Linked DNA regions of Nothobranchius furzeri. The main gene of each other region encodes a partner of the protein of the gene in region 2 in a complex. Links are inferred from orthologs where the notes say so. Each region holds a gene or a part of one and is shown on either strand. Other genes may lie near its edges.

Region 1 (4,127 bases), on a different chromosome or scaffold from region 2:
TGTAACAAGTGAAGTTCCCCAATGTGGGATTAATAAAGTCTATTCTATTCCAATAAACAAAATAATGACAAGAGTGCTAAAATAAACAATGAGCAGTCGTTAAAAAGTATTACACAATTGTTATTTTGAACTTGCATCAAAGGAAATAAGCTCCACCATAAAACAAGGGCATCAAATTGATTTTAAGCTTCTTTTTAAATAATAAATGACTTAATACAAAACTTGAGGGAAAGAATTCTTTATGTCTTCTATTTTTTTGTCAGAAAAATATCTTAAAACATCTTGAATCATAGTCTTAAAATGCTTAATCTAATACTTTGCAAAACGTGGTTAATCAGAATCAATCAAAAATGCCATATACTGAATAATATAAGCTTTCAAATGTATTTAAGGTGATAACTTTTCATAAGCCGGTTGAAATATTCTAATAACTGGGTCTAGCACTTTCAGAAAATTATTCAAATCCAGACAGACTTACTCATTTAGCAGATGATTACATCAGATGTTACAAATGTATGAAAAGGTCTCAGTGACAGTTTAAAGGCATCTCACCGTGTTACACTTAGTCCCACATACCACCTGCCGGTGGCTGAGCCACTGCGACGCAAACACCTTGTTGAGTCTTCCCAGTGAAAATTCCTTCTCTTTGAGGATCCCAGGTAGCCTGCCTGCTGCAAAGCCACGCAGGCTCCGTTGGAACCGCAACTCATGCTGCTGCTGAGGTCTGAACTCACGCCCGCGGAGGGCACACACGACAGAGCTCTGACTGCACAACCACTGCTGGGCGTGCCGAGATGAACAAGAAACACGGCTCCGCTTGTGTGGTGCCTGACTCCAGCCCAGCTGTGGAAATAGGACAGGAAAACGGTTCAAGTATTTAAAGAGAAACAGATTGCTGAAGAATGTAAAACAGCATATGTGCTTTATCAGTGTTGCTGTTTCAGTCTGTGCTACTCTGTACCTTAGCCCAACAGAACCAAGAAAACATTGCTCACTGACACAGACTAAAGAGTTTTTCCAGATTATAAGAGGTGCAATAAAAGCACACACATGCACACTGCCAAGGTTAATGCTTATTAAGTATATTTTTAAATCATGAAATAAGATAATACACAGGACTTGCTTTAGGTTATAATATAAAAAAAATTTAATTTCCACATCCCTAAAAATACAATAACAAAAACAGTTGGTAGAACAGCTCACTTTTACAATAATCAGGTGCATTATTCAAATTTTCATTCTATAGTTTGATACAATATGCTAAACCGTTTTTTCTTCTTTATAGCAAGTACACAAATATTAAATATGGGAGGACATTTTTGTTTTAACCAATAAACTCACAAACTATAAAAATCATTTAATTTTGATTTACAGTAAAATAAAACAAATTTAAAAGGAATCTATTTTCCCCTTAACTGTTTCAGGCTCGTGAAGAACATTTGAACAGATCTGAGTGTTGAAAGGTTATGATTTTATAATTTCCTGAATTTTTAAGATTTCTTTTAGGCAACAATTAGCCTGAAAATCAGTTTGGCGCATCAAGGTGGCATTCATACGAAAACAGAGTTGAATCATTTGAATTGGACGAGTTCGAGTAGGGACATACCTAAAACATGTGAAAAAGTGTGATCCCTCACCACAGACCTTCCCCCAGACAGACAGACAGATAGATAGGGGCATTGCTGTAAAATATTCAGATTGTAATTTTGATCAGGCCTAAATGTAACTGGCAAACCAGGGTGATATATTTTGGCTAACTCTGCAGGTTAGACATTTGTTTGACGTCGTTCTCATTGAAACGGTGATAACGTTGCCTCCAGTCAGGCAAATGGCTGCTAGTTTCATTCACCCGCATGCAACGATGTTATTAAAATATAGTTACAATGAATAATGACATAGCGCACCCAGCGGGTAGCTCTTAGCTGTCGTTAGATAACGCGTTGCCGTTGGCTAACGTCATGCTAACATTAAATGGTTATTGCTTTCAAATGTAGCCATTCGTTTATTAGCTGAATTAGCTGGCGTTTGGACCATCGTTTGGTCGTTTTAAAACACCGGACAATTATTTACATATAAATCAGATATTATGATAGCCTGTAGGTGCTAACTCGGGCTAGCACCGTGTTAGTTGGAATGCTAATACAACCGGTTTCCGCCTACCTGTTGTTGGTCCTTTGGCTCTCCTGCCTTCCTTTTCCTGCTAACTGTTTTTCTCGCCATAATCTGACACACACAGCTCCCTCACCCACATGGAGGGTAAAAGTAACGCTGGACACTGGATCATATAATGGCGATTTGGTAGTTTGTTCCTTGGCCCTCGATGGCAGTGTCCGACAAGGAAGGGCGATCACATTCGGATAAGGTTGGTCAGCTGAAGGCAGTGAAGTTAGCTTGCTATATTCCCAGATAAATTATACAAAAGTTGGGTTGTAAAAAATAAATTCCGACAAATTCACTAAAGGACGTAAACACTCTTTTTTTCTTAAGCTAAATCGCGGCTAACGATAACGGCAAATGCACCCGGCAGTGCGCAGCCGCACGCAAATTAGCATCAACAAAAACAAGGTCGTACGTGAACGAGGACGTCATGCGTGCTCGTTCACATCAATTGTGTTTTTTTTTCAGCACCATCTCAGATTTAACTATTCTACAACATAAACACTCATTTGTGCGGGTGTACACTTTAGTAAACCGTATATATCTTTTATATGAATAATTAGGACAGTTAAAGGGTTGGGGTAATTTAACTTCTTCAGCATTAAGAGCTATTTCACCAGAATGTGCTTTCGTTATTGCAAAAATTGTGAATTGCCCATTCCAGTGCTAATATCATTTGTTATTTCAAATTAAAAAGAAAATACGGTAAAGTTAAGATAACCTTGCGTTTTTCATCTTTTTGCGTTGCAAGGTGAATTCTCGCGAGATTTGGTCGATTAAGATATCGTGTTAGAGTTCATACTTGTTTAATTTGTAGTTTGAATTTTGGTGCCTCTTAGCAACCGAAACACATCCTCACATGCTTGTGGATATAATATATTGTATATGAAGATATGACTATAATAATAAGTAAAGGTTATCAGCTGTAGTTTTAGTGTGCTCGTAGGAAACGCGAGAAAATAACACATTAACACAAATAACACATTAATGAATGAATTGCATAAACGCCGACTTTCAGCCACTCCCCCAGCTGCGTGCGTTTGCTCTCGTGTGCTTTCTAGGCGAGGCGCTGCTCAACTTGAAAAAGACCCTTCTCTCGGCCGCCTTGATCTCACGAGGATATCGTTGCCTACGTATGCATGACGTCAGAGCAAATCGGCATCAAGTCGGACTCAAATCTAACCGGGTGTTGCGGCGAACATCGGTGATCTAATCTGCGCAGACCTGGCTCAACTCGAACAAGGCCAATATGTGGATTCGACACGGGGCAGGGCAACACATCTGACGACGAGTTTGCGGTTAAAAAATTTCTTTTGCAACTTTACAATATTCATGTAGCCCCAAACCATGACAGCACCTCCTCTGTGTTTTGCAACTCTCTATAATTCTAAAGCTATTTATTTTGAATCACTTCTTTACTACTTTAAATCACTTCAGAACTTGAAAAATATTTCTCTACAAAACTGGATGTTTCTAAATAACGTCCATATTATGGACCCCAACTGGCTATAAGAAGTATATAAAACAATTGCCACAAAATATCACATAACTACTGGATCACTGGATTCTATTGTATGAGAACTAAAATATAACTCTTAAATCTGAAATTATGCAATTGGTGAGCACCATGTAGGATTTTAGTGAGACTTGTTTGAAGTTGCATTACATGACTTGACATTTTTCTGAAAGACCAGACCACAATCAGGCTGTAAATGGCCTCAGCCTGTTTTTCTTTTTTTTTATCTTTTCTGCTGACTAGGCCTTGCAGTAGGATGTTTCTAGGTGTGAAGGACAAAACCTAAATGGACAATCTGTTTTGTCACCTGAATAGAAAGAAAATTAACACATCTGCATGAAGGGAAGTTAAGAGGAATTTGTACTTATCTGCAGTTCTTATCCAATGCATTTGTTGTAAAATTAAAATGGTCTTAAGAAGGGAAAAGAGCAGCTCACCTAAAAAGATTAGCACA
Region 2 (3,957 bases):
CATAATATGCATGCTTTATTATCCAACAATGTAATTGCAACACGTGAAGTTATTATTTATTTTTTGTGCATCTGGTGTTAACAATATTTATTTTCACTGTTTCCCTGCAAGCCCACTATTAAGTGTCACCAAACACGCAGGTAAAGGTAGAAAAGCACATAAGCCAGCCGTGAAATAGGTGTGGGAAAAGGGTGCATGCTACGATGATTTAGTGTTAATACATGAGTAGTCTGACCTGCTAGACTCGTCCTAATACACGAGGCCCCTGGCAAATTCCTGCGGCTACTGAGTCTGTTTCACGTAAATTTATTAACATCTACCTTCTCATTTTGGTCCAAGCAGCTGAGATCAGCAGTCAGACCGTGCTCCTCAGCCTCCTCGGCTATCCCCTCAGCTATAGCCTGAGCTTGGCCCTTCTGGGACCCAAACAGCACCACAAATCGATGCTTCACCTCACAAGGCATGCTGGGGGGAAACAGATAAACAGATAAATATTTAGGCAATTCTAAAACGCCACAGGTAAAATAGTGAGACTAACTAATCAATTATCAGCTGCATTTTAACAAACATCTCAGCTTACCAACATACTTGGACAAATAAAAGGCAGGCTGCCACAGAAACACGTTTAACACACCGCTACGCCACCATTACCGTCAGTACCAGGATGTTGCGTCAAACTTTGACTAGTTACCAAAACAGCGCACGTGGACGTTTTTCACTCAAGAACACTTTATGAACATAACATTTCATATTTGGTCCGTAAACTAATTCGGAATTCCGAGAAACTCGACTCACTTTCTTTAGAGAATCGTGTTTTCTGGCATTAGTCCGTAATAAATACACAGGAAATACAAGCAGTTTAAAGTTAATAAAGTATTTCTACCTTTTTAAATTGTATGAAAATTCACCTCGTCAACTCCTTGCCAACATACCGGTAATTAGTCTTGTTACTGAATTCACGCGAGATCTGAGCTCAAACTGAGATTGCGCGTGATCGGAACAAACCAAGTTACGACAAAGACGTTCCCCTTGTTTAAAATTTGTTGTCAGTTGCAATGATATTAATTTGTATGATTGTGACTAATTTATGATATAGTTGTTCAAGCCTTTTGTCGTTTATAAAAAAGGTGACAGGAATGGAAGAAAACACGCTGAACTGAATTTGGTTCCGCCCTCCCCACCCGTGGAGCCTTCCAGAAGTCCCCGGCAGATCCGTGCGGCTTGCAGTTCAGCCACACTCCAGGATCACATCATTAAACGCGTTATTCTGTCAGATAAACGCCGATTGTGTGTTCTAAACTCCAAATCAGCATGTCCACTTTGGGCACATTAGCCTTTGATGAATATGGAAGGCCCTTCATCATCATTAAAGACCAAGACAAGAAGACACGCTTATCGGGCATTGATGCACTGAAGGTACAATGAGCTAGCTAGCATACATGTAGCGTGATGGCCTAACAAGCAAACCTGCTATTAGATATTTAATTTGGTTACAACACGAATTTATACATACGGCTTTGTGTTGCATGAGTGAATTTGTCCAACACATTCTGATGTTTGTGCAAAATAAGCTGAATTAGATTAGGAAATGAAATGAATTCGTTAGCTATGCTAAGAAGAGGCCCATGTGCTCCCTGTGCGTTCATCTAGTAGGAGGTGCTACATAGGGCTGTACCCTGCATGGTCATGTACATCACCCATACAGCCGACACGCTGTTTACATGCCTTTTGAGGGTGACTTTTAGAGGTAAAATGTGTTTTGATATGCACTTGTTTTGTTTTACAGTCTCACATAATGGCAGCCAAGGCAGTGGCATCAACGCTTAAGACATCTTTGGGTCCAAACGGTACGATCCAGTGCAGTGATGTCATTTCACTTGAATAACTGCTGAGATGTCGAGAGTCTGTGTGACCATTAGATTATTAATTTAATCTAGTTACAAACACAGCAGGTTTACCATGTCATGTCACCGTTTAGGTCTTGACAAGATGATGGTTGACAAGGATGGAGAAGTAACTGTCACTAATGATGGCGCCACCATTCTCAGCATGATGGATGTGGACCACCAGATTGCCAAGCTGATGGTGGAACTGTCCAAATCCCAAGATGATGAGATTGGTGATGGAACCACTGGAGTTGTTGGTGTGTAAACGTGTGCAGAAGGAACATTGTGTGAATGCTTTTTGTAGATGAACATGTGATATATGTTCTGTGTTAATTAATTTTATATAGAATTCTTGGTTAGTATTGATATTTTTATTTTAGTTAAATAGTTTTAATTCGGTAAAGTGCATAAAATTAGGTTTTGGCAGGTAAATTATGAGTTCCTAAAAGTGATTTGTGTGCTGCTACTATTGGGGCATTTTAGCATGCAAATGAATCAGAAAATGTCTAGATATCGGCCAAAAAGTGACAACTCGTATCGGCAATGACTCATACTTGTTGGTATTGGGGAAAGAAAACCCCATAACGGTCTACCTCCACTACCTACTGCTCTTCTAATGCATTTCTGACTCTGTTTACCTATTTTCCTGCATCCTCAGTGCTGGCTGGATCGCTGCTTGAGCAGGCCGAGCAGCTGCTGGACCGAGGAATCCACCCCATCAGGATCTCCGATGGTTACGACCAAGCTGCACGCATAGCCATAGAGCAGCTGGACAAAATAGCAGAAACTTTCCCCTTCGATCCCAACAACACCGAACCACTCATTCAGACTGCCATGACAACGCTGGGGTCAAAAGTGTAAATTAAATTATTATTTTAGTAGTTGTTGATGCCATTTTCCTGTGCCCCTGTGACCTGGCTGCTTTTTAAGTGAGTTATTGAGATTTGACAAATCACCTTTTAATCCTATTGTTGTTATCTAGCATCAACCGGTGCCACAGACAGATGGCGGAAATTGCAGTGAATGCCATCCTCACTGTGGCCGACATGGAAAGGAAGGATGTAGACTTTGAGCTCATCAAGGTGGAGGGCAAGGTGGGAGGAAAGCTGGAGGACACACAGCTCATTAAGGGAGTCATAGTGGATAAGGAGTTCAGCCACCCTCAGATGCCCAAGGTATGATTTAAAATATAAATGTTTGTTGTAAATATTGCTGCATTTTTGTGATGCTTTAACGTGCCTGAGCTAACAAATTCTCTTTTCAATTAGCTTCTCAAAGATGTTAAAATCGCTATTCTAACCTGCCCGTTTGAGCCTCCTAAACCCAAGACCAAACACAAGTTGGATGTGACCTCCGTTGAGGACTACAAAGCCCTCCAGAATTATGAAAAAGAGAAGTTTGAGGAGATGATCCAGCAGGTTAGTAATTCTCACAAATCCCGATGCTACAAAAATGACTTTTTGTGGTTCATGCAAATCAAGGAAGAATAAAAACACCTTAATTCTAGGTCAAAAGCACTGGTGCTAACTTGGCCATCTGCCAGTGGGGCTTTGATGATGAGGCCAACCATCTTCTGCTGCAAAGCGAGCTGCCTGCTGTGCGCTGGGTTGGAGGGCCTGAGATTGAGGTGAGGTAGAAGTCTTGCATGTGAAAGGTCAGAATGAGCTACCCTTGCTACGAGCTCACCCTTTGGTGTTTTGTTAGTTGATTGCTATAGCTACCGGAGGCCGTATTGTGCCGAGGTTCTGCGAGCTGACACCAGAGAAGCTCGGAACCGCTGGCTTGGTGAAGGAGATCTCCTTTGGCACAACCAAGGATCACATGCTCGTCATCCAGGAGTGCAAAAACACCAGGGCTGTAACCATTTTCATCCGAGGCGGCAACAAAATGGTACGCTCTCACAAGGCTGTATCGTTTTTGTCCTTTTTCATCACATTCATGTCTAATGGTCAAAACCTTTTCATTAGATCATTGAGGAAGCCAAGCGTGCTCTCCACGATGCTCTGTGTGTAATCCGCAATTTGGTGAAAGATAACCGTATTGTGTATGGGGGCGGAGCTTCAGAGATAGC

Evidence for each region. The genes of interacting proteins can lie anywhere in the genome.
Region 1: the proteins of cct5 (region 2) and dcaf12 are in contact, whole or in part, in a cryo-EM structure (PDB 8AJM), measured with the Homo sapiens proteins. The link is inferred for Nothobranchius furzeri from reciprocal best matches to the Homo sapiens genes CCT5 and DCAF12. Residues at the interface, in NP_036205.1 of Homo sapiens: Gly537, Glu538, Ser539, Glu540, Glu541; in NP_056212.1 of Homo sapiens: Lys91, Phe93, Lys108, His144, Trp186, Phe188, Arg203, Lys254, Arg256, Glu298, Val300, Arg344, Phe411, Tyr422, Leu440, Pro441, Ser442, Gly443.

What each region holds. Positions count from the first base shown.
Region 1 is NC_091743.1:55,581,422-55,585,548, forward strand, and holds the start of dcaf12 (DDB1- and CUL4-associated factor 12), read right to left. Parts: upstream 2,801-4,127; 5' UTR 2,221-2,800; coding exon 2,161-2,220; intron 844-2,160; coding exon 553-843; intron 1-552. UniProt on the Homo sapiens protein: Substrate-recognition component of a DCX (DDB1-CUL4-X-box) E3 ubiquitin-protein ligase complex of the DesCEND (destruction via C-end degrons) pathway, which recognizes a C-degron located at the extreme C terminus of target proteins, leading to their ubiquitination and degradation.
Region 2 is NC_091747.1:54,098,038-54,101,994, reverse strand, and holds the start of cct5 (T-complex protein 1 subunit epsilon), read left to right. Parts: upstream 1-1,157; 5' UTR 1,158-1,311; coding exon 1,312-1,416; intron 1,417-1,786; coding exon 1,787-1,847; intron 1,848-1,978; coding exon 1,979-2,143; intron 2,144-2,544; coding exon 2,545-2,743; intron 2,744-2,868; coding exon 2,869-3,061; intron 3,062-3,154; coding exon 3,155-3,304; intron 3,305-3,393; coding exon 3,394-3,513; intron 3,514-3,590; coding exon 3,591-3,776; intron 3,777-3,853; coding exon 3,854-3,957. Other genes in the region: mtrr (methionine synthase reductase), read right to left, coding at 321-464. UniProt on the Homo sapiens protein: Component of the chaperonin-containing T-complex (TRiC), a molecular chaperone complex that assists the folding of actin, tubulin and other proteins upon ATP hydrolysis.